Linked DNA regions of Anolis sagrei. The main gene of each other region encodes a partner of the protein of the gene in region 3 in a complex. Links are inferred from orthologs where the notes say so. Each region holds a gene or a part of one and is shown on either strand. Other genes may lie near its edges.

Evidence for each region. Proteins that work in one complex are often made in the same cells at the same time.
Region 1: POLR3D (region 3) and POLR3K share a complex: the UniProt entries of both Homo sapiens proteins name them as parts of the RNA polymerase III complex. The link is inferred for Anolis sagrei from reciprocal best matches to the Homo sapiens genes POLR3D and POLR3K.
Region 2: POLR3D (region 3) and CRCP share a complex: the UniProt entries of both Homo sapiens proteins name them as parts of the RNA polymerase III complex. The link is inferred for Anolis sagrei from reciprocal best matches to the Homo sapiens genes POLR3D and CRCP.

The regions. Positions count from the first base shown.
Region 1 is NC_090035.1:14,607,179-14,614,735, forward strand, and holds POLR3K (DNA-directed RNA polymerase III subunit RPC10), read right to left. Parts: upstream 2,423-7,557; coding exon 2,312-2,422; intron 2,220-2,311; coding exon 2,132-2,219; intron 1,370-2,131; coding exon 1,242-1,369; 3' UTR 920-1,241; downstream 1-919. Other genes in the region: general transcription factor 3C polypeptide 1, read left to right, coding at 117-353; SNRNP25 (U11/U12 small nuclear ribonucleoprotein 25 kDa protein), read left to right, coding at 2,474-2,584, 2,751-2,847, 5,638-5,743, 5,848-5,922, 6,163-6,217. UniProt on the Homo sapiens protein: Core component of RNA polymerase III (Pol III) which synthesizes small non-coding RNAs using the four ribonucleoside triphosphates as substrates. Can mediate Pol I proofreading of the nascent RNA transcript.
Region 2 is NC_090031.1:27,643,756-27,652,148, reverse strand, and holds the start of CRCP (DNA-directed RNA polymerase III subunit RPC9), read left to right. Parts: upstream 1-4,974; 5' UTR 4,975-5,067; coding exon 5,068-5,075; intron 5,076-5,081; exon of another isoform or gene 5,082-5,157; coding exon of another isoform or gene 5,158-5,159; intron 5,160-8,156; coding exon 8,157-8,193; intron 8,194-8,393. UniProt on the Homo sapiens protein: DNA-dependent RNA polymerase catalyzes the transcription of DNA into RNA using the four ribonucleoside triphosphates as substrates.
Region 3 is NC_090027.1:1,456,030-1,464,005, forward strand, and holds the start of POLR3D (DNA-directed RNA polymerase III subunit RPC4), read right to left. Parts: upstream 3,587-7,976; 5' UTR 3,475-3,586; intron 3,430-3,474; exon of another isoform or gene 3,190-3,429; intron 1-3,189. UniProt on the Homo sapiens protein: DNA-dependent RNA polymerase catalyzes the transcription of DNA into RNA using the four ribonucleoside triphosphates as substrates.

The DNA.
Region 1 (7,557 bases), on a different chromosome or scaffold from region 3:
TGAGCATTGGGGTGGCATTTAATTTTATTGTACGATGTACAATGACAATAAAGTTATTCCTATTCTATTCAAGACCCCCAAAATGGCTTTCTCCCCCTCCCTCCCTCTCTCTGCAGGGACTGGAGTCACTGGGCTGCATCCGGAGGCGCTGCCTGGCCCCCCAGCGGCCGGTCTCCCTCTTCTCGGCCCCTGCCCCAGAGGAGGAGAATCCCCCATGGGCTCCCCGCAGGCTGAGCGAAGAGGAGGAAGAGGCCCCCTTTTATGAACCCTGCCTGGAAGCTGCCCTCAAGATGGGGAGAGTATTCCCCTACGAGACCAACTGGAACAAATGGGGCTCGGCTGGGGGGCCCTGATCCCTTGGAAGCCACCTCCTATTTTGTAAATAAAGCAAGAGTGTCTCTTTTACAGAGTCCCTTCTCCTATAATGTTGCTGTGGCATCAAGTGTCAATACCTGGTGAATATTTGCTTTTTATGTTTGGAATTCACCCTAAGTCCCTTCAGGGAGATAGGGTGGAATATAAATACTTAGGCCATCCCTCATAGCTCGAGGATGATAGTCTTCCAGATGTGGTGTCTTTATATAAATAAAGATGATACTGACACAATATTTTGTTTATATTCTGCCCTATCTCCCCAGAGGGACTCAGGGCAGATTCCAAACATAAAAGGCAAATATTCAATGCCCGAACACAACAACAATACACCCATAGTGTATAAATAAAGATTATTGTTGTTATTATTATTATTTCCTGTGTTGAGCATGCTGCAGCCCCCATCCCAGCCTCAGGCCCTCAAAGCCCCAAATTCCTCAGCCCGGAGCAATAGTTCCCAAACTTTATTTGACTAGGGACCACTTTGACTAGGGACCACTCTCCAACATTAGTACCAAAAGGGTTACGAATCAGTTTTTGGTCAACATTAGGTTCGGTTTGTTTATTTGGGGTGCTGATTCAGATAATTGCATTGGATAGACCACATCAGCTCTAATTTCTGATACAGAACGTATGCCATCCAGTAGTCGCCATCTGCTTGCTCACAGAAAACCATATTTAATAAGTATCGGCACTATAAGAGGGTTTCACGACCATTAGCTCTCATTGCAATGTTGCAGTAACAGTGAGGCCGTGGAACATATTTTAGTTCTTGCGAACCACTGGTGGTCCACGGAACACAGGTTAGGAACCACTGGCTTAGAGGTAGGAAGGGTTGGAGGCCCTGGCCCCACCTGAACCCTGCGCCCTCAGTCCCGCCATCGGTGCCCACATTGGGGACTGCAGCACTTGTAGAAGGTTGTCATGGGTTCGTCGGCAGAGCGCGTCTGGAGCTGCATGAAGAAGGCGCGCGGGTGCTCACACTTGGGACAGGGCTCTGTGGGGCAAGGAAGGAATTATTGTAAATATAAAATTATATTATTATTATTATTATTAGAAATACAATAAGATGAGTCCACAGCAAATACTCTGCTGGCTGTTTTATTGGATCACACGTCGACACTTCCCAAGTGTCCAGGACTGTGTGATGTATCAGCGAATAATGCGTGCAGATCCAAGTAGGGTGGCCTTTTGCAGCTGGCAGATGGTAATTTTGTCAGCCCAATTGTGTTTAAGTACAGGCCAAGGTCTTTAAGCACTGCACCCAGTGTGCCGATCACCATTGGGACCACCTTGACTGGTTTGTGCCAGAGTCTTTGCAGTTCTATTATTATTATTAATTGGGTTGTTGTAGGTTTTTTTGGGCTATATGTCCATTTTCTAGAAGCATTTTCTCCTGATGTTTCACCTGCATCTATGGCAAGCATCCTCAGAGGTAGGGTGGCTTTTTTACAGCTGGCAGATAGTAATTTTGTCAGCACCGATTGTGTTTAAGTGCAGGCCAAGGTCTTAGGCACTGCACCCAGTGTGCCGATCACTGAGACCACCTGGATTTGCTTGTACCAGAGTTTAATCTTTAAATCATATTGTGTCAGCTTTTCCAGTTGTTCCTCTTCAATCATTAATATCTTATCCTTATTATTATCATTATTAATGGAGCCAATGGTGGCACAGTGGGTTAAACCACTGAGCTACTAAACTTGCTAACCCTAGCCCCGCCCCCTCGCTCTCCCAGGCCCCGCCCCTTTCGGTGACGCACCTGCCGTGGAGTCCACGTTCTCCCAGGCCGCGGCCCCGCCCAGCACGTCGTCCACTTCCTTCAGCTTCGGGTAGCGCCGGCTTGTTACCTAGCAACGGAAAGAGGGGGGGAAAGGTGAGCGAAGGCCGAGGAGGAGGAGGGAGGGAAGGAGAGAGGGAGCGGCCCCGCCCCTTGACGTGCCTTGCGCGTGACGTTGCGGACGTAGGGGCACGTAGTGCAGGCGAAGCGGTGGCAGCGCGGCCCCTCTTCGGCCACCAGGACGTTCCCGCAGGCCGGGCAGAACAGCAGCATCCTCTCTCCTCACCTTCCGTTTCCGCTCTCCCCTCACAAACCGGAAGCGTGATGGAGGAGGAAGAGGAGGAGGAGGAAGCACACGCGGACGTGCTGGAGCTCTGGCAGGAAGGACTCGCCCGACTGGTCCAGGACCCGCTGCTCTGTGACCTCCCAGTTCAGGTGGGCTGGGCACTGGGCGGGAGGCGTGGCCTACAGAGAAGGGGGCGGGGCATTGTTTGTGGGCAACATAGAAGGGGCGGAGCCTGATAATAAAGGGGCGGGGCATACGATGAAGGGCGGGACATGGGCCTGTCATTCACCCGCTCCCTCTCTCCCTATCTCCCAGGTGACCCCCGAGGAGATCAGCTCGCAAGTGGCGCTGGAGTACGGGCAAGCCATGACAGTGCGCGTGCGCAGAGCCGACGCCCCCGAGGCACCAATGCGTAAGTGCCAGGAGAGGCGTGGGCGGGGCCTAGTGGCCCAAATAGTGAGGCGCCTCTGTGGGCGGGGCTCAGAGGCGTGGGCGGGGCCTCAGAGGCGTGGGCGGGGTCTAATCGCCCAAATAGTGGGGCCCCTCTGTGGGCGGGGCCTAGGGGCGTGGGCAGGGCCTCAGAGGCGTGGGCGGGGTCTAATGGCCCAAATAGTAATGCCCTCTGTGGGCGGGGCCTAGAGGCGTGGACGGGGCCTCAGGGGTGTGGGCGAGGCCTAGTGGACCAAATAGTGACGCCCTCTGTGGGCGGGGCCTAGAGGCGTGGGCGGGGCCTAGAGGCGTGGGCGGGGTCTAGTGGCCCAAATAGTGAAGCCCTCTGTGGGCGGGGGTCTAGATGTGTGTCCGGGGCCTCAGTGGCGTGGGCGGGGTCTAATGGCCCAAATAGTAATGCCCTCTGTGGGCGGGGCCTAGAGGCGTGGGCGGGGCCTCAGAGGCGTGGGCGGGGTCTAATGGCCCAAATGGTGAGGCCCTCTGTGGGCGGGGCCTAGTGGCCCAAATAGTGAGGCGCCTCTCCTGCTCTCTCCTCCTTCCCTCCTATAACATACTACTACTGTTATTATTATATATTTAATATATTTTATATGTAATATTACTAATATTATTACAATATAATGGTATAGTACAATTTCTCCTGACGTTTCGCCCACATCTATGGCAAGCATCCTCAGAGGTGGGGAGGTCTGTTGGAAAACTAGGAAAATGGGGATTATATATCTGTGGAATAATGCCCAGGGTGGGAGAAAAAACTCTTGTCTGTTTCAGGCAGGTGGGAAGGTTGCAATTGGCCACCTTGATTAGCATTTAATGGCCGTGCAGTTTCAAGGTCTGGCTGCTTACTGCCTGAAACAGACAAGAGTTTTTTCTCCCGACCCTGAGCCCTTGTTTTATTGATATTGTTTTAACTTGTTATTAGAGCTGTCGGCAGTGCAATGGGTTAAACCAGGGGTCCTCAGACTAACGCCAGGGAGCCAGATACGGCCCTCCAAGGTTATTTACCTGGCTCTCGCTCAGGGTCAACCTCAGTCTGAAACGTGTTGAAAGCACACAATAACAACAGCAATCCTATCTCATCAGCCAAAAGCAGGCCCACACTTCCCATTGAAGTCCCCCCAGGGCTGGGTGAGAAAGGCAGTATATAAATACTGTAAATAAAAATAAATTTTAATACGAATAAGATTACATTTGTTAAAATTGTTCTTCATTTTAATTACTGTATTGTTTTTAAGTGTTTTTTGCACTACAAATAAGATATGTTCATTGTGCGTAGGAATTCATTCATGTTCTTGAGTGGAACTCTCTGCCCCGGAGTGTGGTGGAGGCTCCTTCTTGGAAGCTTTTAAACAGAGGCTGGATGGCCATCTGTCAGGGGTGCTTTGAATGCAATATTCCTGCTTCTTGGCAGGGGGTTGGACCGGATGGCCCATGAGGTCTCTTCCAACTCTTTGATTCTATGATTCTATGAAATTATAATCCGGCCCGCCAACAGTTTGAGGGACTTTGACCTGGCCCTAAGATTTAAAAAGTTTGAGGACCTCTGGGTTAAACCCTTGTGCTAGCAGGATTGCTGACCGAAAGGTCGGTGGATCGAATCCAGGGAGTGGTGTGAGCTCCCGTCTGTCAGCTCCAGCTTCCCATGCAGGGACATGAAAGAACCTTCCCACAAGATGATAAAACATTTGGGCAACGTCCTTGTAGACGGCCTATTCTCTCACACCAGAAGCGACTTGCAGTTCCTCAAGTCATTGCTGGCATATATATATATATATTACTAGCTGTCCCCTGCCACTCGTTGCTGTGGCCCAGTCTGTTGATCTGGAAAATGGCCTTGGATGGCCTTAAGTATTTTCTGTTGGTCATGGGGGTTCTGTATGGGAAGTTTGGCCCGATTCTGTCATTTGTGGGGTTCCGAATGCTCTTTGATTATAGGTGAACTGTGAATCCCAGTGACTACAACTCCCAAATGTCAAGGTCTATTTTCCCCAAACTCCACCAGTGTTCACATTTGGGCATACTGAATATTTGTTCCAAGTTTGGTCCAGATCCATCATTGTTTGGGTCCACAGTGATCTCTGGATGTAGGTGAACTACAACTCCCAAACTCAAGGTCAATGCCCACCAAACCCTTCCAGTATTTTCTGTTGGTCACGGGAATTCTGTGTGCCAAGTTTGGTTCAATTCCATCGTTGATGAAGTTCAGAATGTTCTTTGATTGTAGGTGAACTATAAATCCCAGCAAATACAACTCCCAAATGACAAAATCATAATTTTTGAGTGACGGTCACTCCTTGTGTTGTGAGATGTTTTGTTGCCAAATTTGGTGGATTTCGTTCATTGATTGTTTTGTTTTTAAGGTACTCATTATGCACAGAGCATTTATATTATTATTATTATTATTATTATTATTATTGCTTCTGTTTTGATTTGTATGATTGTTGAATGTGTTGTATTGTCTTCTTGAATTTGTTGTATTTTTTATGGCATTGAACTGCCTTGTTTGTTGTGAGCCGCCCTGAGTCCCCTTGGGGAGATAGGGTGGGATAGAAATAAAGTTTTACTCACTTATCAGTTTTACTTACTTTACACACTGTATCATTCATATGTAATTACTGTATGTATTCTCGTTTGTTGGGGCATCTAATTGTGCTGGCTATAAGCCGCCCTGAGTCCTCCTACGGGGGTTGAGAAGGGCGGGGTACAAGTGTTTGAAATAAATAAATACTAAATACTCCCTCTCTCCTTTCAGCGGTGGTGGTGGTGCAGAATGCCAGCATCCTGGACCTGAAGAGGGCCCTCCGGCGGTTTGTGCAGCTGCGGCAGGAGCGTGAGGGGGGCATCCAGCACATCAGCTGGTGGGTCCTGCTTCCGTGGGGCAGGAGAGGGGAGGGGGCAAGGTCAGGCAGAGCCAGCTCCACCCCTCCTCCTTGTCCTTAAGCCTCTCCTCCCTACCTGACAGGAAATACCTGTGGCGCACCTACTGCCTGACCTTCGGTGGAGAGAAGCTGACAGACGACCGGAAGAAGCTGAGAGAGTGAGTCTGTGGTGCCCTGGTACCCCTTGTGGATCCCATGCCCATACTCTGGCCTGCTTGCAGTGGGACCAGGCTCAGCCAGGTGGGGGGCAGGTGTGCTACGTGCTGAGGAAGGAGGTGCCCGAGGCTTCTGGCTGCAGTCCTTCACCCCCTTTGCCTTGCCACCCTCTTTGTGGGCCTTTCTGAGGGCCTGAGTCCCTGGGAGAGGAGGAGTCCTAATGTGCACAACGTTTTCCCCAGGTATGGCATCCGCAACCGGGATGAAGTCACCTTTGTGAAAAAGATCCGGAAGTGAGTCCCCAGGCAAGCCTCTGCATGGCCTTGAAGGGAAAGAGGCCCTCTTGGGAACTATAGGAGCATCCGAGGGGAGGCTTCCCATGAGCCCCTGAAGCCCAGGTACTAACCAGGGGACCAGAGGCACCTGCCTGCCTGCCTTTCTCCGTTTGGAGGGCAGGGCCAGGTCCCTCTCCCTGAACGGGGCTGGGAGCCTTCCTGACCAGTGCTGGCCAGAGGGTGGGTGCAAGGGATTAAGCATCATCTGTTGGATTTGTAATAAAGCTTGAGTAGTAACTGCTTGTTTACACTTTTATACAGAATCCCAAGTTGTTGTAGAGGGTTAGGGTGGTCGCAGAAAGCCAAGCTGAGAAGGAAGCCCCAATTCTATGACTGCTAAGAATGTTGCTTTGGGTCAAGCGTAGCTCTGTGGGCTTTGGCCAGCGCTCCCCCCATAGAAGACCAAGGCTATGCTAAGCCCCTCCCACCAGGAAGTCCCCTCAACACATGCTCTTTCAATCAGTAACCCAGTAGCACTTGGGGAGGTGTTTTCATAGTGAAGGAGCTCCCAGTGGTGCAATGGGTTAAACCCTTGTGCTGGCAGGACTGAAGACTGACAGGTTGCAGGTTTGAATCTGGGGAGAGCGTGGATGAGCTCCCTCTGTCAGCTCCAGCTCTCCATACAGGGACATGAGAGAAGCCTGGACACAAATATAGTCATTTTGAGGATTATTAGTATTATTGTACTTCAAGGAGCCCCCGGTGGCGTAATAGGTTAAACCAGTGGTTCTCAACCTGTGGGTCCCCAGGTGTTTTGGCCTACCATTCCCAGAAATCGCAGCAAGTTTACCAGCTGTGAGGATTTCTGGGAGTTGAAGGGCAAAACATCTGGGGACCCACAGGTTGAGAACCAGTGGGTTAAACCCTTGTGTCAGCAGGACTGAAGACCGACAGGTCGCAAGTTCAAATCTGGGGAGAGCGGATGAGCTCCCTCTGTCAGCTCCAGCTCTCCACGCAGGTACATGAGAGAAGCCTGGACACAAAGGTAGCCGTTTTGAGGATTATTGGTATTATTGTACTGCAAGGAGCCCCCGGTGGCACAATGGGTTAAACCCTTGTGTTGGCAGGACTGAAGACTGACAGGTCAGAGATCCGAATTTGGGGAGAGCGTGGACGAGCTCCCTCTGTCAGCTCTAGCTCTCCATGCAGGGAAATGAGAGAAGCCTGGACACAAATATAGTAGTTTTGAGGACAGCATGGATGAGCTCCCTCTGTCAGCTCCAGCTCTCCATGCGGGGATATGAGAGAAGCCTCCCACAACGATGGTAAAACATTAAAAAAAAAATCCGGGCGTCCCCTGGG
Region 2 (8,393 bases), on a different chromosome or scaffold from region 3:
GGTAGAGAAATTGGTAAATAACAATAATAATAATAATAATAATAATAATAAATAACTTGGTAAAGTAAAGCTATGTAAGAAAATAATAATAATAATAATTTGGTAAAGAAGAGGTGGGTAAATAATAATAATTAATAATAATCATAACTCGTTGGAGAGGAGGTATGTAAGAAAACAACAACAACAACAACAACTTGGTAGAGGAGGTGTGTAAATAATAATATTAATACTACTAATAATAATGTGGTAGAGAAGTGGTGGAATAATAATAATAATAATAATAATAATAATAATAACAACTTGGTAAAGAAGAGGTGTGTAAGATAATAATGTTAAATTGGTAGAAAAGAGGTCTGTAATATTTTTTTTTCGTGTCAGGAGCAACCTGAAAAATTGCAAGTCGCTTCTGGTGTGAGAGAATTGGCCATCTGCAAGGATGTTGCCCAGGGGACGCCCAGATGTTTTGATGTTTGACCATCCTTGTGGGAGGCTTCTCTCATGTCCTTGCACGGAGCTGGAGCTGACAGAGAGAGCTCATCTGCACTCTCCACAGATTCGAACCTGTGACCTATAGGTCTTCAGTCCAACCAGCATAAGGGTTTAACCCACTGCACCATCGGGGGCTCCTGTAATAATAATAATAATAATAATAATAATAATAATAAAAATAATGTTAAGTTGGTAGAGGTGTGTATGAAAATGATGATGATAATAATAGTAGTAACAATAAAGATAATAATTTGGTAGAGGAGAGATGGGTTAATAATAATAAATAATAATTTGCAAAGGATGATAGTAATTATTATTATTTGGTAGAGAAGTGTGATAATATAACAATAATAACAGCAATAATAACATAGAGAAGAGGTGGGTAAGAAAATAATAACAACTTAGTAGAGAAAAGGTTAATAATAATAATAATAATAATAATAATGTGGTAGAGAAGAGGTGGATAAGAAAATAATAATAATAATAATAATAATAATAATAATCATCATCATCATTATCATCCGGTAGAGAAGAGATGTGTAAGAAATTAATAATAATAATAATAATAATAATAATAATAACTTGGTAAAGAAGAGGTGTGAAAGAAAATAATAATAATGTGATAGAGAAGTGGGTAAATAATAATAATAATAGATGCTGATGATAGTAAGAAGAGGAAGAAGACAGCGAGGAGGAGGAAGAAGTGCAGTTTAGAAATCTGGAAGGGGAAAAGCAGGTTATTATTATTAATATTATAAATAATAATAATAATAATAATAATGGCAGCCCAGGAATCTGGAGGTCCACGTGATGGCCACCCATTTTCTCGTGTCTTCAGCAACCTCTTTCTATGGATAAGCCCTTTGTGTGATACGTGTTATTCTTACATTGACGTATAGAAAAACGGTTGCCCCGCTCAATGGGGGGAAAGCAACAAAAAGGGAGCCAATAAAGGAAAGGGTCCAGTCTGCATTTCCTGCGTGAATGGCAGGGTCAGCGCCCTCGTTTCCAAAGCAAGGATGACAAGGGAGCCAAAAAGACAAAGCCACCCATGAGGCCGCTGGGCATTGTGTTTCCTGAATGAGCCAGAAAGAAAGGAAGGAAGGGATGAAAAGAGAGGAAGAAAAAAGGGGCTTCTCTCCAGCCCTCCATCTATCTATCTATCCATCCATCCATCCGCTGAGTTGGCACACTTTCCCCAGGCATGAATGGGGGCCCCCCTGCATGCGTGTGCGCTTTCCAATTCTGTCCCTTGCACGCACGCACAACACGGAAAGACTTTGGAGCCATCAGCAAATACTCCTACTAATAAAAAGGTAAAGGTCAAGGTTTTCCCCTTGACATGAAGTCCAGCCATGTCCGACTCTCGGAGTTGGTGCTCATCTCCATTTCTAAGCCAAAGAGCCGGCATTGTCCATAGACACCTCCAAGGTCATGCGGCTGGCATGACTGCATGGAGCACTGTTACCTTCCTGCTGAAGAGGTACTCACATTTGCATGTTTTTAAACTGCTAGGTTAGCAGAAGCTGGGGCTCATAGCGGAGCTCACCCCAATCCCCGGATTTGAACCGCCATCCTTTTATTCAACAAGATCAGCAGCTCAGCGATTTAACCCGCTGCACCACTGGGGCTCCTATTAATACTACTACTAATAATAATGGCACTATCTTTCATGAGAAAGAGAGAGGTGGAAAAGGGCACAAAGGTGTGTAAGAAGGAAGGAAGGAGAGAGAGAGAAGGAAAGAAGGAATGAAAAGAAGGAAGGAAGGAAGGAAAGAAAGAAAGGAGGGAAGAAAGAAGAGAAGGAAGGAAAGAAGGAAGGAGAGAAGGAAGGAAAGAAGGAGGGAAGGAAGGAGAGAAGGAAGAAAGGAGAGAGAGAAGGAAGGAAAGAAAGAAGGAGAGAAGGAAGAAAGGAGGGAGAGAAGGAAGGAAAGAAAGAAGGAAAGACAAAAGGAGGGAAGGAAGGAATAAGGATGGAGAGAAGGAAGGAAGGAGAGAAAGAAGAAAAGAGGGAGACTAGGAAGGAAGGAAGGAAGGAAGGAAGGAAGGAAGGAGAGAAGAAAGGAAAGAAGGAGGGAAGGAAGGAGAGAAGGAAGAAAGAAGGGAGAGAAGGAAGGATGGAAAGAAAGAAAGACAGAAGGAAGGAAGGAAGGAAGGAAGGAAGGAAAAATTAAGGATGGAGAGAAGGAAGGAAGGAGAGAAAGAAGAAAGAAGGGAGAGAAGGAAGGAAGGAAAAAAGGAGGGAGGGAAGGAAGGAAGGAAGGAAGAAGGAAGGAAGGAGTGAAGGAAAGAAAAAAGAAGGAAGGAAGAAGGAAGGAAGGAAGGAAGAAAAGAAGAAAGGAGAGGAAGGAAGAAAGGAGGGAGAGAAGGAAGGAAGGAAGGAAGGAAGGAAGGAAGGAAGGAAGGAAGGAAGGAAGGAAGGAGAGGCTCCTTTCCCTAAAGCCGGAAATACACATGATATGATATGGTATAATAAGATACGATAAAGGAGCCCCCAGTGGCACAGTGAGTTAAACCGCTGAGCTGTTGAACTTGCTGAGTGAAAGGTTGGTGGTTCGAATCCAGAGAGTGGAGTGAGGTCCTGCTGTTAGCCCAGCTTCTGCCAACCTAGCAGTTCGAAAACATACAAATGTGAGTAGATCAATAGTACTGCTTCAGCGGGAAGGTAAGGGTGCTCCATGTAGTTATGTCAGCCACTTGGCCTTGGAGGTGTCTACGGATAACTCTGGCTCTTCGGCTTGGAAATGGAGATGAGTACCAGCCTCCAAAGTTGGACACAACTGGACTTAATGTCAGGGGAAAACCTTTACCTTGTACTAAGATATGATATACCTATGAATTGGACCTCCGTCACAGATGCTGAAAGGCCTGGACCATCTAAAAGGGAAGAATAGCAGGCCTCCTCCTCCTCCATGGGCGCTCAAAAGCCTTAATAATATAAAAGGAAATAAGAGGTGTTTGTTAATGCCCTTAGACCACAGTTCATTTGCATACAAAACAAGTCAACACAACACAACACAATTGGCATCTAGATCTGGCCTAGTAACCTTCAATGGCATGAAAGGTGGGAGAGATGCCAATGTTTTGCACTGATTCGCTGCCAAAAAGGGCTGCTGCCAAGTCCGACCTCTTCCATGGACGCTAAAAGGAAATCATAGGAGAGTTCTTAAATGTTCTTAAAGGCCATAGAAGTCAATGCAAGGCAGCAGGCTCTCCCTTCATTCAAAGTATCTATAGGGTTAAGTAGATGGAGTAATAATAATAATAATAATAGTCTCTTAATTAACTGCCCCCCATGGGAATTGGTAGATATGCAATAATAATAATAATAATAATAATAATAATAATAATCTTTCAATCAACTGGCCCCCATGGGAATTGGTAGATATGACACAATAATAATAATAATAATAATAATAATAATAATAATAATAGTCTTTCAATTAACTGGCCCCCATGGAAACTGGTAGATATGCCATGATAATAATAATAATAATAATAATACTGTTTGGATCGTCGATGTTGCAATTCCAGGCGATAGCAGGATTGAAGAGAAAAAAAATGAGGATTTAAAGATCGATCTGCAAAGACTCTGGCCGAAGCCAGTCAAGGTGGTCCCAGTGGTGATTGGCACACTGGGTGCAGTGCCTCAAGACCTTGGCCTGCACTTAAACACAATCCGCGCTGACAAAATTATCATCTGCCAGCTGCAGAAGGCCTTTGAGGGGAATTTACCTTGATTTGAGGGAGTTGTAGTTCACCTATATCCAGGGAGCACTGTGAACCCAATGATGGATCTGGACCAAACTTGGCATGCATACCTGATATGCCCAAATTTGAATATTGGTGAGTTTTGAGGGGAATTCGTCTGTGTACTTTGGAGTTATAGATCCTGGGATTTATAGTTCACCTGCAATCAAGGAGTACTCTGAACTCCACCAATGACGGAATTTGACCATACTTGGCAAACAAAGCCCCCATGACCAGCAAAAAAAAACACTGGAGGCTTTGGAGGGATATTCACCTTGATTTGAGGGAGTTGTAGTTCACCTACATCCAGAGAGCACTAATGGATCTGGGCCAAACTTGGCACACAGACCTGATAGGCCGAAATTTAATGGCTGGAGGGGTTTGGGGGGAACTGACCTTCCTTTCTGCGGATTGGTAGATGCTATAAGAAGAAGAAGAATATATAATAATAATAATAGATTGTGAAGTGGGGCTTCTGATAGAAGTATCACAGCCCTAGACTCCAGTGGCTATTCTCCCGCCAAAAGTCTTGCAAGTGAAAGGCATTCTGGGAGTTGTAGTCCTTGAAGAAAGCGCCCTCCCTTCAGCCGGCCGTCTTCCCTCGCAAGGGCCACGCCTTCCCGCCTTCATCTCCCGGCGTCCTTAGCGCCTCGCTTTCTGCCTCATGCTTGAAGCCCCGCCCCCTTTCCTACCCTGCTTGTCTCCGCCCCCTTTCTCCTCTGTCTCGAAGCTCCACCCCTTTCCCAGTCTCCGCCCCTTTCCTCTCAGTCTCCTCCTCTTCCGGCCTGAAGTCCCGCCTTTTCCCTAATTCTCCTCCTGGGAAGCGAGATGGAAGTGTAAGTTGGAGGGAGGGAAGGAGGGGAAATGGCAGGAAAGCCAGGCCCAGGAGGCGAACCCGAGGGAATCTGAATTATTAATATGTATGTTTTGTTGCTTATAGAATTATTCATATTAAGCTATAGAGAGGAAATAGGATATATTAAGCCATAGAGAGGAGATGATGCTTCTACTATATATACATTTATATGTTCTATTTATATATGTATAACAGATTAAAATACAGAAATGTATATATTAATATATAATACATTATATATACTATACACATGTTAATATATATAGAGAGGTATATTACTTATATGCTTATATAGAATTCATATATATATATATATCACATTATATTAATATAATACTAAAATAATGTATGCAATATTATTTATATATGTATAACATTAAAATAAAGTAATGTATATATATATATAATACATAATATATACTACACACATATAAATGTATATAGAGAGGTATATTACTTAAATGCTTATATAGAATTCATGTATATACATATCACATTATATTAATATAATACTAAATATATGCAATATATGCTTTAATATATATTATATTAATCTGTATTAGAGAGGGATATTGCTTATATATGCATACATATCACATAATATATGCAATTATGTGATATCTATATATATAAGACATACATTATTTTAATATTAATATATAAAAATAATGTATCATATATATATATATACTTTAATGTATAGAGGGGATATTGATTAGATGCATATATATACACACACACACACACACACATACACATCACTTAATATATATTTATAATATATTAATATACATATATTAAAATAATGTATGTATAATATATATTGTTTAATGTACAGAGAGGGCTATTAATTAGATGCTTATATACATATATATTAATATAACAAAATAAAGTAATGTATGTATAATATATGTACTAACATTTATACATACATGTCACATATATATTAAAATTATATATATATATATATATATACACACATACATACATATACTGTATAGAGAGGGAGGGATAATGCTTATATGTCATATTATATATATACTATATTAATATATTAAAATGTATGTATTATATATATATATATACACTTTAATATATAGAGAGGGATATTGATGAGATGTTTACATACATATATGTACATATATATACACATACATATCACTTAATATATTAATATATAAGATAAAGCAATGTATGTATAATATATATATATATATATAAATTTTATATTATTAATTGTAATATCAATAATATGTAGGTTTTGTTGGTTCTTTTGCCGACCAAAAAGCCAACCACACACACACAGACATATATATCTATCTCCCCATAGGATTCCTCTTCATTCGAGCTTCCCAAGACTCCCAAAGAATTAAATATACAGTATAACATATATGGAGCAAAGCCACTGCTACGGCTGACGTGTCTTTGGGGTCAGCACAAAAAACGAAAACTCCCTTCTCAGCATATTTCCGGAAGGGGAGCCCCTCTTTTTTTTTGAATCCCCCCGATTTGTTTTTTTTAAAAAACAAAACACCAAAACAATGCGCCCAACCTGTGGAAGTTTGTGGAAGAGGCGGCGTGGAACTTGCCCCGAAAGTGATGAGCGCAGCGGGTTCGATTCAGAACTAAATCAAATACATTGTGCTTTTAGGTACGTGCGGGGCCCCCCGAGAAGCGCTTTTTGTGGCCGCCGCACTGTTGTTGTTTCTGCGCTCTTTGCTGGCTCAGCAGAAAAAAGGCCTTTGTCTCTGGGATGTATGGATGGATGGAGGGGGCCCTTCCGCACGGCCCTTCGGTGTTTTTGTTAATAGATAGATAGATAGATAGATAGATAGATAGATATGAACAAGATTCAGTTATGAACAAGATTCAGTCGGTTTGTTATTAAGGTGATCCATCATCTGTTAACTATCTATCTGTATCAATCCTCTCTCAACTATTTACCTTCTGTTAACTATCTATCTATCACCTGTCCGTCAATCATCTGCCAACTATATGTATCATCTGGTTTATTAATCATCTGCCAATTATTTATCTGTCTATCTTTCTATTATCTATCATCTGTCCATCAATCATCTACCAATTATCTATCTATGTATCTATCATCTGCCAACTATTTATCTATCATCTATCTATCATATGTCTATCAATCACCTGTCAACTATCTATCTATTAGTGTTTGTCTTCTCTCAACTCATTTTTCTATCTGTATTAATCATCTGTCAATCATCGAGCTATACAGATAAATCATCTCATATATCATCTATATCAATAATCTCTCAACTATCTTATCATCTGTCAACTATCATCTATTTATCAATGATTTGCCAACTATTATCTGTCTGTTTATCAATCATCTGTCAACAGTTTATCAACTATCAATTATCTGTCATCTATCTATCTATCTATCTGTTATCTATCAATCATCTATCGATTATCTGTCATCTATCTTTCATCTGCCTATCAATCTCCTGTCAACTATATTTCTGTTATGTTTCTATAACCTATCAATTATCTGTCAACTATCTATCTATCCATCTATTTATTATCTATCAATCATCTGTCAACAATCTGTCCTCTATCTTTCATCTGTCTATCAATCTCCTGTCAACGATCTTTCTGTTATGTTTCTATCATCTATCGATCATCTGTCAACTATCTTATCTTTCTATCTATAATTCTATTATCTTTAATCATCTGTCAACTATCTGTCATCTATCTTTCATCTGTCAGCTATCTTTGTTATGTTTCTATCTATTATCTATCAATCATCTGTCAACTATCTGTCAACTATCAATTATTTGCCAACTATCTATCATCTATCAATCATTTGTCTATCAATCACTTGTCAACTGTCTATCATCTATCTATCTTTTCATTTGTCTGGATTTTCCCAGCGTTCCTCTGGACACACATTATCTGACTTCAGCAAAATCTGGCTCGAAATGAGGAAGCTGCCCTTTAAGAAAATATCTCCTTTGGGCTTTGAAAACAGTCTGTCTTCTTGAGCCAGGATCGCCTGCATAAAGGCCTAATCCTGCCTGTTTGTTTTGTTGTGCAGGAAAGACGGAAATGCAGCCCTTCTGAGCAACTATGAGGTAAAACCATTTGTGGCATAATTAATTGGACTTCTGATGCCTTGTGTTTCATCTCTGCTCTGTGTATTTTCATATGCATTTTATCAAAGTACATTTCTATATGTGCATTTATAAGTTTTTACTATGTTTATGTGTTTTGATTATGCCGTAACCTGCCTTGAGCCAGGTTGCCCAAAGGCCCTCTCATAGAATGGCCATTT
Region 3 (7,976 bases):
AACTCTATCAGTGTTCACATTTGGGCATATTGAGTATTCGTGTAGAGTTTGGTCCAGATCCATAAACTATGATTTTGTCATTTGGGAGTTGTAGTTGCTGGGATTTATAGTTCACTTATAATCAAAGAGCATTCTGAACCCCACCAACGTTGGAATTGAACCAAACTTGGCACACAGTTCTCCCATGACCAACAGGAAATACTGGAATTGTTTGGTGGGCAGTGTCCTTTGGTTTTGGAGTTGTAGTTCACCTACATCCAGAGAGCACTGTGGACTCAAACAATGATGAATCTGGACCAAACTCTACACGAATACTCAATATGCCGAGTATATCCATGCCGAGGCAACCCTCACAGGAGCGGCTCAGGACTTCATGTCCGCCATGGCAACCATGGGGCTGTCCCAACGAATAACTGGCCCCACCCACTGTGCTGGACACACATTGGACTTGGTCTTCTGCCAGGGATGGGAGCAGGGTGGCGGTGTGGAGGAGTTGTCCATCTCTCCGTTGCCATGGACCGACCACTTCCTGATCAGATTTAGGCTCACTGCGCCCCCTAACCTCCGCAAGGGTGGAGGACCCATTAAGATGGTCCGCCCCAGGAGGCTTATGGATCCGAATGGATTCCTGACGGCTCTTGGGGATTTTCCCGCCACCTCGGTAGGTGACCATGTCGAGGCCTTGGTCGCTCTCTGGAATGGGGAGATGACCAGGGCAATTGACAGGATCGCTCCGGAACGTCCTCTCTCGAGTAACCGAGCTAAACCAGCTCCTTGGTTCACTGAGGAGCTGGCAGCGATGAAGCGAAGGAAGAGGGTACTAGAGAGCGTGTGGCGCTCAGACCCAAGCGAGCCAAATCGAACACGGTTTGTGTCCTTTCTAAGGGCATATGCCGCGGCAATAAAGGCCGCAAAGAAAACTTTCTTTGCGGCTACTATTGCGTCTGCAAAAAACCGTCCGGCGGAGTTGTTTCGGATTGTCAGAGGTCTTTTAACTCCCCCTACCTCAGGTGGGAGCCCTGACAATTCGGCCACGCGCTGTGAAGCATTTGCTCGGTTCTTTGCAGACAAAGTCGCTTTGATCCGCTCTGGGCTGGACGCCACATTAAATGCAGTCTCTGTGGATGTGACACAAGCACCTGCTTGTCCTATTTTGTTGGATTCTTTTCAGTTTGTGAAGCCCGAGGATGTGGACAAGATACTTGGAGGAATGAGACCCACCACGTCCATCCTAGACCCCTGCCCATCCTGGCTTCTGAAGGAGGCCAGAGGGGGATTGGCCGAGTGGGTAACGGTGGTGGTTAATGCCTCCCTTCGGGAAGGCAAGATTCCAGCGAGCCTAAAACAGGCTGTTATAAAGCCGCTGTTGAAGAAACCATCATTGGATCCCACTAAATTTGACAACTTTCGGCCTGTTTCCAATCTTCCCTTCTTGGGCAAAGTCATGGAAAGCGTGGTGGCCTCACAACTCCAGGTATTCTTGAGAGACACGGATTATCTGGATCCGGCACAGTCTGGTTTCAGACCGGGACATGGTACCGAGACGGTCTTGGTCGCCTTAGTGGATGATCTGCGCCGGGAGCTAGACAGGGGGAGTGTGTCCCTGTTGGTGCTCCTGGACCTCTCAGCGGCCTTCGATACCGTCGACCACGGTATTCTTCTGGGGCGCCTTGCAGAGATGGGTCTTGGGGGCACTGCTTTGCAGTGGCTCCAGTCATTTCTGGAGGGTCGCACCCAGAAGGTGTTATTGGGGGACTCCTGTTCAACACCACAGCCGTTGACCTGTGGGGTTCCTCAGGGCTCCATCCTGTCCCCCATGCTGTTTAACATCTACATGAAGCCGCTGGGTGAGATCATCCGGAGTTTCGGGGTGCGGTGTCATCTGTACGCAGATGACGTCCAACTCTGTCACTCCTTTCCACCTGCTACTAAGGAGGCCGTCGAAGTCCTGAACCGGTGCCTGGCCGCTGTAATGGTCTGGATGAGGGCGAACAAACTGAAATTAAATCCAGACAAGACAGAGGTACTCCTGGTCAGTCGCAAGGCCGAGCAGGGTATAGGGTTACAGCCTGTGCTGGACGGGGTCGCACTCCCCTTGAAGGCGCAGGTTCGCAGCTTGGGTGTGACCCTGGATTCGTCGCTGAGCCTGGATCCCCAGGTTTCAGCGGTGACCAGGGGAGCATTTGCACAGCTTAGGCTTGTGCGCCAGCTGCGCCCGTATCTTGGGAAGTCTGACTTGGCCACGGTGGTACACGCTTTGGTCACATCCCGCCTCGACTACTGCAACGCTCTCTACGTGGGGCTGCCCTTGAAGACGGCCCGGAAGCTCCAGCTAGTCCAGCGCGCGGCAGCCATGTTGCTAACAGGAGCCGGGCGCAGGGAGCATACAACGCCCCTGCTGTCCCAGCTCCACTGGCTGCCGATTTGCTACCGGGCCCAATTTAAGGTGCTGGTGTTATCCTACAAAGCCCTAAACGGTTCCGGCCCAAAATACCTTGCAGACCGCATCTCGGCCTACGAGCCCACGAGGACCTTGAGATCATCCGGGGAGGCCCTTCTCTTGGTCCCACCTGCCTCACAGGCACGTCTGGCGGGGACGAGAGAGCGGGCCTTTTCGGTGGTGGCCCCCCGGCTGTGGAACGCTCTCCCTGCTGAAGTTAGACAGGCGCCCTCCCTTATGGCCTTCCGTAGGAGCCTGAAAACATGGCTCTTTGAGAGGGCTTTCAATTGAGTGCTATTCATTGGAAATGATGACCGGAATGGATCACGACTATGAAACTGATATGTCCCCATGATATGACGAAGCGGATTTTTAGTATAAGTATATGTTATGTAGTAGTAGATTGTTGTGTACTGTTTGATTTATTGTAAACTGTCTTTTCCATGTTATTGTTCACCGCCACGAGTCGCCCTAGGGCTGAGAGTGGCGGTCAATAAATGCAAGAAATAAATAAATAAATAATAAATAATATGCCCAAATGTGAACACTGGTGGAGTTTGGGGAAAATAGAATCTTGACATTTGGGAGTTGTACTTGCTGGGATTTATAGTTCACCTACAATCACAGAGCATTCTGAACCCCACCAACGATGGAATTGGGCCAAACCTCCCACACATGAACCCCCATGTGGGCCACAGCAACGCGTGGCAGGGGACGTCTAGTAGATTATATTATGTTATATTAATGACTGGCCATACACAATGCCCCTGGGCCTCTTCATAATGTTCTCCAGCCTTCTGCTGGCCCACCAGTATCAAATACTCACTGAGCCGCCATGTTTTTCGCTTTGACTCCAACTCCCAGAAGCCTCAGCCACTCCGTCCAATGAATAGGAATTCTGGGAGATGAAGTCCAAAACACCTCGCAAGGCCGCACACCGCCTCCAGGCCTCTGAAATGCAAAGCCAGGCTCCCACGGCTTTTAGGCCCGCTCCCCACAGAGGCAGGCACGCCCCACTTTCTCCCCGGACCCACCCGAGACGGAGCGAGGCTTCTTTCTCCGTTTCCAATGGCGCCGCTTCCCTCGAGGTCTCTCTCTCCGGCACACAGCCACGGTGCAGATCGCGGAGTGCGCATGCGCGGCAGGGCCTCCGCCATTTTTGAACCTGGCACGGTCCGCCCCTTTGCCATCTCCCCCATGTTTCCGAAGGAGGAAACTGCGAATCCGCCATATTTGTTTAAGGCTATCCGCCATTTTTAAACCTGGCATGGTCTGCCCCTTTGCCATCTCCCCCATGTTTCTGAAGGAGGAAACTGCGAATCCGCCATGTTTGTTTAAGGCAATGTTTCCGGGTTTGTTTGTTTTCACCACCCCAAGAAAGGAAGACACTGTTGAATGAATGGAGTTGATGCCAGTTTCATTGATTGGCACAACTCAATGCTATGGGGTTTGACAAATCTTTATTATTATTATTATTATTATTATTATTATTATTATTTCTTTTTATTTATATTATTATTATTATTATTATTATTATTATTATTATCTTGGGCCTTCTCTGCCTAAGATGCTGAGGCTTCATCAAACTATAACTCCCACAACTCCATAGCAGCACTGAGCCTTGGCAGTTAAAGTGGGCTCAAACTGCATTAATTCTACAGTGCAAATCGGGCATGGGCAAACATCCTGAGCTCTGAGGATGATTACCTGGGAAGGAATCCCACGGGAGCCTTGCAGCGCACCCAAATACCCGGGAGTCACTCTGGGCCGTGCTCTGACCTACAAGAAGCACTGCCTGAACATCAAGCAACAAGTGGGTGCTAGAAACAATATCATACGAAAGCTGACTGGCACAACCTGGGGGTCACAACCAGACACAGTGAAGACATCTGCCCTGGCGCGATGCTACTCTGCTGCTGAGTACGCATGCCCAGTGTGGAACACATCTCACCACGCTCAAACAGTGGATGTGGTTCTTCATGAGACATGCCGCATTATCATGGGGTGTCTGCGCCCTACACCACGGGAGAAATTACACTGCTTAGCCGGTATTGCACCACCTGACATTCGCCGGGAAGGAGCAGCCAATAGTGAAAGGACCAAGGCAGAGACATCTCCAGTTCATCCCCTGTTTGGGTATCAGCCAGCACGTCAACAACAAATCTAGAAATAGTTTTTTAAGATCTACAGAGACACTCATTGGAATACCACAGCAAGCAAGAGTCCAAAAGTGGCAGGCTCAAACCCAGAACCTCAACCAATGGCTGATACCAAATGAGAGACTCCCCCCTGGGCACACAGAAGAAGACGGGGTGACATGGAAGGCGCTGAACAGACTGCGCTCTGGCACCACGAGATGCAGAGCCCACCTTCAGAAATGGGGCCACAAAGTGGAATCCTCGACATGCAAGTGCGGAGAGGAGCAAACCACTGACCACCTGCTGCAATGCACCCTGAGCCCTGCCACATGCACAACGGAGGATCTTCTTGCGGCAACACCAGAGGCACTCCAAGGGGACAGAGACTGGTCAAAGGACATTTAACCAACTACCAAACTCACAAGTTTTGTATTATGTCTGTTTGCTTTGTTCTGTTAGAAATGTAATGTAATGGACTGCTTGCTCTGACACGACAAACAAACAAACCACCCCAAGAAAGGAAGACACTGTTGAATGAATGGAGTTGACGCCAGTTTCATTGATGCTATTAGACAACTCAATGCTATGGGATTTGACAAGGCTTTTTAATATTATTATTATTATTATTATTATTATTATTATTATTATTATTTATTGGGGCCTTCTCTGCCCAAGATGCTGAAGCCTCACCAAACTATAACTCCCACAACTCCATAGCAGCACTGAGCCTTGGCAGTTAAAGTGGGTTCAAACGGCATTAATTCTACAGTGCAGATCAGGCATTGGCAAACTTTGGCCCTCCTCCAGGTGTATTGGACTCCAACTCCCACAATTCCTAAGAGCCTACCGGCTGTTAGGAATTGTGGGAGTCGGAGTCCAAAACACCTGGAGGGAGGGCCAAAGTTTGGAGACTTCATAGAATCATAAGAGTTGGAGGGGACCCCCAAGGGCCATCCAGTCCAACCCCCCTCTGCCATGCAAAAGAAGCACAATCTAAGCACCCCCAAAAGATGGCCACCCAGCCTGTGTAATAATAATAATAACAACAACAATAATAATAATAATAATAATAATAATAGGAGCAACCCCAGGGACCATCCAGTCCAACCACCTTCTGCCATGCAGAAGAAGCACAATCAAAGCACCCCCAAAAGATGGCCACCCAGCCTGTGTAATAATAATAACAACAACAACAACAACAACAACAACAACAATAATAGGAGCAACCCCAGGGACCATCCAGTACAACCCCCTTCTGCCATGCAGAAGAAGCACAATCAAAGCACCCCCAAAAGATGGCCACCCAGCCTGTGTAATAATAACAATAACAACAACAACAATAATAATAATAGGAGCAACCCCAGGGACCATCCAGTCCAACCCCCTTCTGCCATGCAGAAGAAGCACAATCAAAGCACCCCCAAAAGATGGCCACCCAGCCTGTGTAATAATAACAACAACAATAACAACAACAACAATAATAGGAGCAACCCCAAGGACCATCCAATCCAACCGCCTTCTGCCATGCAGAAGAAGCACAATCAAAGCACCCCCAAAAGATAGCCACGCAAATAATACTAATACTAATAGGAACAACCCCAGGGGTCTTCCAACCTTAATAATAATAATCCCAGGCGACAGCTGGATTGACGAGAAGCAGCTGGAAAAGCTGACACGATATGAGGATTTAAAGATCAAACTGCAAAACTCTAGCACAAGCCAGTCAAGGTGGTTCCAGTGGTGATCGGCACACTGGGCACAGCGCCGCAAGACCTTGGCCTACACTTAAACACAATCGACGCTGACAAAATTGCCATCTGCCAGCTGCAAAAGGCCACCCTTCTGGGATCTGCATGCATTATTCACCGATACATCACACAGCCCTAGAAACTTGGGAAGTGTTCGACGTGGGATCAAATACAAAAGCCAGCACAGTGATCTTGTTCGCCATGTACTAATCTTGTTATGTATCTCTAATATTAATAATAATAGGAGCAACACCAAGGGTCATCCAGACCAACCCCCTTCTGCCACGCAGAAGAAGCACAATCAAAGCACCCCCAAAAGATGGCCACCCAGCCTGTGTAATAATAATAATAATAATAATAATAATAATAATAGGAGCAACACCAGGGACTATCCAGTCCAACCACCTTCTGCCATGCAAAAGAAGCACCATCAAAGTATCCCCAAAACATGATCACCCAGCCTGTGTCATAATAATAATAATAATAATAATAATAATAATAATAATAGGAGCAACCCCAGGGACCATCCAGTACAACCACCTTCTGCCATGCAGAAGAAGCACAATCAAAGCACCCCCAAAAGATGGCCACCCAGCCTGTGTAATAATAACAATAACAATAACAACAACAACAACAATAATAATAGGAGCAACCCCAGGGACCATCCAGTCCAACCGCCTTCTGCCATGCAAAAGAAGCACAATCAAAGCACCCCCAAAAGATGGCCATCCAGCCTGTGTAATAATAATAATAACAATAACAACAACAACAATAATAGGAGCAACCCCAGGGACCATCCAGTCCAACCACCTTCTGCCATGCAGAAGAAGCACAATCAAAGCACCCCCAAAAGATGGCCACCCAGCCTGTGTAATAATAACAACAACAATAACAACAACAATAATAATAGGAGCAACCCCAAGGACCATCCAATCCAACCGCCTTCTGCCATGCAGAAGAAGCACAATCAAAGCACCCCCAAAAGATAGCCACGCAAATAATACTAATACTAATAGGAACAACCCCAGGGGTCTTCCAACCTTAATAATAATAATCCCAGGCGACAGCTGGATTGACGAGAAGCAGCTGGAAAAGCTGACACGATATGAGGATTTAAAGATCAAACTGCAAAACTCTAGCACAAGCCAGTCAAGGTGGTTCCAGTGGTGATCTGCACACTGGGCACAGCGCCTCAAGACCTTGGCCTACACTTAAACACAATCGGCGCTGACAAAATTGCCATCTGCCAGCTGCAAAAGGCCACCCTACTGGGATCTGCATGCATTATTCACCGATACATCACACAGCCCTAGAAACTTGGGAAGTGTTCGATGTGGGATCAAATACAAAAGCCAGCACAGTGATCTTGTTCGCCGTGTACTAATCTTGTTATGTATCTCTAATATTAATAATAATAGGAGCAACACCAAGGGTCATCCAGTCCAACCCCCCTTCTGCCATGCAGAAGAAGCACAATCAAAGCACCCCCAAAAGATGGCCACCCAGCCTGTGTCATAATAATAATAATAATAATAATAATAATAATAATAATAGGAGCAACCCCAGGGGTCATCCAGTCCAACCCACCTTCTGCCATGCAGAAGAAGCACAATCAAAGCACCCCCAAAAGATGGCCACCCAGCCTGTGTA